2 linked regions of the Sus scrofa genome follow. The protein of the gene in region 1 purifies or fractionates together with the protein of each later gene. This does not show direct contact. Links are inferred from orthologs where the notes say so. Each region holds a gene or a part of one and is shown on either strand. Other genes may lie near its edges.

The links.
Region 2: the proteins of POGZ (region 1) and ZNF428 purify together in Homo sapiens (affinity purification with mass spectrometry; 3 studies listed by BioGRID and IntAct, counting the BioPlex papers as one, with this or other methods). This does not show direct contact. The link is inferred for Sus scrofa from reciprocal best matches to the Homo sapiens genes POGZ and ZNF428.

The regions. Positions count from the first base shown.
Region 1 is NC_010446.5:97,821,404-97,825,224, reverse strand, and holds part of POGZ (pogo transposable element with ZNF domain), read right to left. Parts: intron 1,157-3,821; coding exon 1,056-1,156; intron 526-1,055; coding exon 379-525; intron 1-378. UniProt on the Homo sapiens protein: Plays a role in mitotic cell cycle progression and is involved in kinetochore assembly and mitotic sister chromatid cohesion.
Region 2 is NC_010448.4:50,450,448-50,453,790, forward strand, and holds the end of ZNF428 (zinc finger protein 428), read right to left. Parts: intron 1,358-3,343; coding exon 855-1,357; 3' UTR 693-854; downstream 1-692.

The sequences.
Region 1 (3,821 bases):
TGAACCTCCCTGTGTCTTTAAGCATGCCGTTCTTCTATCCCACTTCGCCTGGCTTATCCTTACTCATCCTTCAGGTCTTCAACACCTTTTTTCCTGGAAGCCTTAGTAGGCTCCCCTAATAGGTATATTCCTTTCTGTAGCCTGTATTTCCCCTAACACAACATTCTTCGTGTTTTACTGTATTGTTGTCTTGTTTACCACTAAATCTCTAGCATCTAGCCCAGTGCCCAGCACTTATCATTGGCATTCAATAAATTTTTCCAAACACATTTATATTATCTTCTCTACCAAAATTATTTGCTTATTTATTAGCTCAGTCCTGGCCCGGCTTCCATAAACTTAAAAATGAGAACATGGGAATTGCTTGGTGTCTGGTACCTGGTGCCTCATGTAATGCTGTTGGAATGCATTGCCATTTTTGAAGACCTTCAGGCAATAAGGGCAGAGCAGGTGCCGAGTATCCTCGTGGATCATCCGAAAATGGACATCGACCTCAGAGTAGAGTGAGGAGCGATACTGACACACCTGAGTGACATAAGAGGGAAAATGAGCTAAGAGTGAAGTGAACAACTGAGGTCTTTGAAAAGAGGTAGCAACAAAAATGTTAAAATATGAAAAAAAAATTTCCTTAATGTATAGAAATCAAATTATTTTTCTGACTTTTTGATGCAGGGCTATGTCTGTGATACATTCAGCTGTGAACCAAGATAAAAATGGGGAAGGACAGGAAAGGTTGAGAATAGTTCATATTCTGACTGAGAGGAATAGTTTTTCCTGTCCATCTCCAAAAGGCATGTTCAGGAGACAGACACCCCCCCAGCACATATGGACGCTCCCAGGTGGGTTTCTCAGCTGGTACAAGGATACATTTCTTTGTGTTTTCTCCTGCATGGAAAAATCCTGAAAATACAACTCAAGTTTACTGTTTCTTCAGTATCTCTTCTGTGTTCCTAAAACTGAGTGTGTGTAACAGGTATTACACTGTTCATTAGTGGACTCTTTGTGTTCAGCCTGAGAGCAAAATAGCTAAAGCTCCCTGGAGAAAGAAGCAATACCTGGCAAACGTAAGGCATCTCTCCAGGCTTATGAGTATCCTTCATATGCTGGAGAAACAGTGGCTCACTCTCAAATGCCCACTCACAGATCTTGCACTTTGCTGTAGGAAGAAAAATAATCAATAAATCCACCTGAAAATATGACGAAAGTCCTGCTGACTCATTATCTTTATTTCTCTGACTCCTACATTTTCATTTTCAATAGTCGTAAATTATTAAGTCTCTTTCCTTCTCTCTTTAAAACGGCTCTGTCTCAACATTTGTGTGCTGATATCCTGTCTCTAGCTCAGACTTCTTTATCTGACTCCAAACCACTGTGTTCTGTCACCATTATTTCAAATTACACAGAGAAATTGTCACCTCTTCATTCTCACAGGCAAAAACTTGGTAGAAGCTCATAGGATTTCCTACTGCTAGTCAGCTGGCTTCTAATACCTCCTATTTCTCCAATAAATACAGTATCCTTTATATACCATCGCCAAATGAATTTATTTTAAAATACTATATTACTTCATTCCTCTGCTTAAGGATAGACAATGGTTATCTCCTATGAAAAATTCGACCTGGACTGAACACTTACTAAATGAGGATGAATGAGGATTTATCCTCAAAAGACTGACAATATGAACAGAAACAACTTCTTGCCTTCTTATGAGTTGTTACTTCAGTATTAACAAATTTGAGATAATTAAACTTTGAAATTAGTCATTTTTTTAAAACTACAGTTGAGGAGTTCCCGTCATGGCGCAGTGGTTAATGAGTCCGACTAGGAACCATGAGGTTGCAGGTTCGGTCCCTGCCCTTGCGCAGTGGGTTGAGGATCTGGTGTTGCCGTGAGCTGTGGTGTAGGTTGCAGACTCGGCTTGGATCCCAAGTTGCTGTGGCTCTGGCGTAGGCTGGCAGCTACAGCTCCAATTAGACCCCTAGCCTGGGAACCTCCATATGCTGCAGGAGAGGCCCAAGAAATGGCAAAAAGACAAAAAAAAAAAAAAAAAAAAAAAAAAAAAAAACTACAGTTGATCTATATATAATGTTGTGTCAATTTCTGATGTATAGTAAAGTGACTGTTATTTATACATATATAGTCTTTTTTTATATTCTTTTCCATCATGGTGTATCCTGGGAGACTGGATATAGTTTCCTAAGCTATACAGTGAGACCCTGTTGTTTTAAAATGAGCCATTTTAAAAAGAATGGATATATATACACATATATACATACATACACACAACTGATTCACTTTGCTGTACATGAAACTAATATAACATTGTAAATCAACTATACTCCAATAAAAATTTTAAAAATAATAAAATAAAATTAGCCATTTTATCAAGCTTTTATAAGGCTGTAATTCTAGGTTTTTGGCAAAAATCTTAATTGCTAGGAGTTCCTGTCGTGGCTCAGTGGAAAAGAATCTGACTAGCATCCATGAGGACGCAGGTTCAATTTCGAACACCTTTAAGCATTGGTGTTTCCCAATCTTTTGTCCAAGGCCTTTTTTGTTTTCTGTGTTTTACCTGTGCAATCTTATTCACCCTCAAAGGCTTTCCCTATAACCTATATATCACCTCTATTGTTACAGCTGTCACACAACATAAATAATATCATTTAGTATGTCTGCACCCGTGGCATATGGAAGTTCTAAGGCCAGGCAAATCTGAGCCACAGCTGCAACTGAGGCCACAGCTGTGGCAATGCCGGATCCTTAACCCACTGTGGTATAGTGGGAACTCCTAAAATACATTATTAAAATTAATTCCACCTTTAAAAAGCTTTTATTTCAAATGACCACTAAAAAAATTAAAATTATATACGTAGCTCATTGTATTTGTTGATCAGCATTAGTCTGAACCACTCATGGCAATCCCATTTCCCTTGACAATATGACCAAAGCCAAGGAGATACAAAGGGAAAACAATTCTGCCTTGTAAGAAATAGATTCAGGAAGACACAGGAAGATATACTCTTCTTCATCTGTACAATTTTACACCTGAATGTAATGCCTAAGACTAACAAAGCCACCCTGCTATGATGGAGACAAGGAAACCTGTTGAGAAGTAGAGGACTCAAATTTTGGGCCTTAAGCTCACTCCAAACCTTGGATCCTCTCAGTTAAAAGATATAATATTTGTTCTTAATGTTTTGTCCATTTTTAGTCAAGATTTTTAATTTGCATAAAAAGCATCCACTTAACATGCACATTTCTGCCTTTATGTGTCTGCACATGCTGCTTCCCATCACTTACAAACCTTTCTTACTACTTTTCATTCATCAAAATCTTTCTTGTATTTAAAAACTTGAGGGAGTTCCTGTCGTGGTGCAGTGGTTAACGAATCTGGCTAGAAACCATGAAGTTGCGGGTTCAATCCCTGGTCGTGCTGTGAGCTGTGGTGTAAGATCCTGTGTAGGCCGGTGGCTACAGCTCCTATTAGACCCCTAGCCTGGGAACCTCCATACGCCGTGGGAATCGGCCCTAGAAAAGGCAAAAAGACAAATAAATAAATAAACAAATAAAAATAAATAAAAACTTGAAAAGTTTACACATTACTTCCTGTGAAATCTGGCCACAGGATCTTTTTCCTTCTCTGAACTATTTCATCTATCACTGGTGTTATACAATGCACATGTTTACAATAAATATATTCTCTTGTTTTCACAATTTCCTATAGTTACATAATTTTTTTCTCTTCAACAAAACTAGAAATCCCTTAAAGGACATAGGAAATATTCTAGAAGATTGGACTCAAACCCTTACAATGCACCTTA
Region 2 (3,343 bases), on another chromosome or scaffold:
TAGATGCACCACTTCTCCGAGTCAATATCTATAAAGCTCTTGGACCGGCACTTGGCACCCAGGAAGCGCTCGTGAAGCACAGCTATGATTATAATTCAAGTCCTCTTTGTGAGGGTCCTGGATGAAATGGCAGAGAGCACGAGCTGTCTTCCACAAACTGTTTTCCGCTTTCTGGGCACTTGGCTAGACCGCCTTTCCCAGACTCCCTTGCTGCGAGCTGTGGCCATGTGACTCATCTCTCCACAAAGGAAGCTAAGTGGAAGCAGCACCTCTTGCAGGCTGGGGCTTCTAAGAGAACACATGTACCTCTCCAGGCTCCCTCTCCCCTTCCACCAGCAGAAGCCAGGCCACGGACACAGCCATGACCGTGTGAAAGACGAAAAGCTGACAAGATGGCCTGGGCCCCCAAACCACCCTGTGGAGGTTATCTGCCCACCCGAAACACCCGCCAAATTCTGTTGTGTCTGGGCCTATATACATCATGGGGTCTATGATTAAATACACGGAAACCACACTGAACATACATACTTAGTAAATATTAATTATCTTGGCAACAACCATCCTAGGGTTTCCCGAAGGAGCCAGGGATGGTGGGTTAATGCCCAGGCACGTGCCTCACATACCAGTGCTCGCACACGTGCGCACACACACACACACACACACACACACACCAAACGCACACTGGGCCAACACACACAGAATTCGGCTTTTATTCTGGCCTTCACACATCTACTGCTAAGACAACACAGATCGGCGGCACCCCGTCCCCAGGACTACTGGGACCACCCAATGTCCTCCACCCCTCCTCCCACCCCCACCCCACCCCCCTGCAAGCTCCCTGGGGGGGGCTCTGCCTACACCTCACCCCGGGCATGCAGCATGAAGTGCCCATGCAGCTCCCCCAGGTTGTCGAAGGAATCCTCGCACTCCGTACAGTGGTAGGTGCCCTCCTCCTCCTCCTCTTCCTCCTCCTCCTCCCTCCCGGTTGGCCGGCCCTCCCCAGCCCGAGGTGGCTCCTCCGCTTCCTCCCCGAGAGCCCTGCTGTCAGGGGCTGGCGCTTCCTGGGGGGCTGTAGCGGGGCCGCAGAGCCGGCAAGGTGGGGTGCCTGGCGGGGCCTCCCCAAGGGGTGAACGGCCACAGAGCTGGCAGGGCTGGGCTGGGGGGCCCGGGAGCTGGGCTGCGCGGGGGGCCCGGCGGGATGGGCCCCCCCGGCCCCCCCCCAGGCGCTGCTTCACCTTGTAGCCAGGGTCATATTCAGGATCATCAGTGGTCTCCTCTTCCTCCTCCTCCTCCTCCTCATCCTCTTCGGAGTCCGGCTCAGAGAGAGTGTATTCGGAGTCAGAGGAATGCTCGGGGCCTATGGGAGATGGATGAGGAAGGTCATGGCATCAGAGGACGGAGGGCTACGCCTGGCTGTCCCCTCTCTGTCCCCGGTGCAGACTGGCCACAGTAGGGGGAGGAGAACCTGGGCACGCCCCGCTCTTCCCTATGCACAGAGCCCGGCACCCAGCAGGCGCTCAGCACCTATGTGTCAAGCAAATGAACTTCATCTTAGGCGTGTGAAAAGAGCAAAGTTGGAGAAGTGGGAATCATAAAAACGACAGTGTCCGCTGCTATTTCAAGAACAGTTTTGTCTTGTTTTGCCTTTTTTTTTTTTTTCTGTCTTTTTGCCTTTCCTAGGGCTACTCCCAAGGCATGTGGATGCTCCCAGACTAGGGGTCTAATCAGAGCTGTAGCCACCAGCCTATGCCACAGCCACAGCAACGCGGGATCTGAGCCCCATCTGCAACCTACACCACAGCTCACGGCAATGCTGGATCCTTAACCCACTGCGCAAGGCCAGGGATTGAACCCGAAACCTCATGGTTCCTAGTCAGATTCGTTAACCACTGAGCCACGATGAGAACTCCTGTCTTATTTTGCTTTTTAGGGCCGCACCCCAGGCAAGGGGTCGAACTGGAGCTGAAGCTGCCAGTCTACACCACAGCCACAGCCACACCAGACCCGAGCCACATCTGCGACCTACACCGCTGCTTGAGGCAAAGCCAGGATCCTTTAACCCACTGAGCAAGGTCAGGGATCGAATCCACATCCTCATAGGTACCAGTCGGTCTGTTATTGCTGAGCCGCAACAGGAACTCCAAGGACCTAGTTTTATGTATTAACTAATCCTTAGGACAGCCCTGAAGGAAGTACCATTGCGATCCCTAAGTGACGAATGGGGAAACTGAGGCACAAAGAAGTCAGGCACCTCACTGGCCTCCTGTCACAAAGCTCTAACAAGGAAAGCCACACATGGTGATGGCCTACACTGGAGCATTTCAGGAAGCCAAACACTTGAACAGGTATCGAAGCAAATTATAACACATACATATACACATAAATATCTGGGAGTTCCCTGTTGGCTTAGCAGGTGAAGGAGTTGGTATTGTTACTGCTGTGACTCAGGTTACTATGGTGGTGCAGGTTCGATCCCCAGCAAGGGAACTTCTGTGTGCTGTGGGTGTGGCCGAAAGAAAAAATCCAGTTGAGTTAATTTACTTATAAGTATAGATATACTGCTGTGATTTCATGGCTATGAAGGACATGCCCAGGATAAGCTTAGGTTAAAAAAAAAAAGGAAAAAATTTAGAGCTGGTGTGCAGGAAATGGTGGCACCAGCAGCTCTTATGGGGGATGCGGGCTCGGGCCTGGTCATGGCCAGGGAGTCCCCCACTTCAGCGGCAGCAGCAGGGTGGGAAATACTGGCTTCTTCAGGTGCAGTGGCAGGAGCCTGCCAAAAGCATCTCTCAGGACAGCGACAGCCTAGCCCTGGATATCCAGCCCCCCTTCCTCAGTTCATTCTGGCAGTGCACGGGGACCCTGTCATGACTGAGCCAGGCGCACTGGCTCCTCATATCTCTCAACAGCCCAGACTGGCACCCCCCTCGGGGCCTTTGCCACCCTTTCTGCAGATAACTAAGGCTTGATCCCTCCCCTCTGCCACGACTCTGCTCAAGTGTCACCTCAGTGAAACGCTGGTCAGACTGTCTACCCAGGAATCCCTCCCCAGCACTCGCTACACCCCAGCTCAGCTTTATTTTTCTCCTCAATTTACCGTATGCAACACCTACGTGTGTGTTTACTGCCTGTCCCCCAAAGCAGGGACTTCGTCTGGTTCGTGGCTGTGTCCCTGGCATCTGAAACAGTCTCTGTGCCTGGCATTCAATCTGACAAACCTCTGCTGAGGCTTTCACACATGGGCTCCCTCTGCTGGGGTCTCCAGGGCATCATTTAGTACGTAGCAGGAGGGCTTTCCCCCCGAGAGAGCAAGAGCGCATCCCAGGTCTCCTAATCCTAGGCA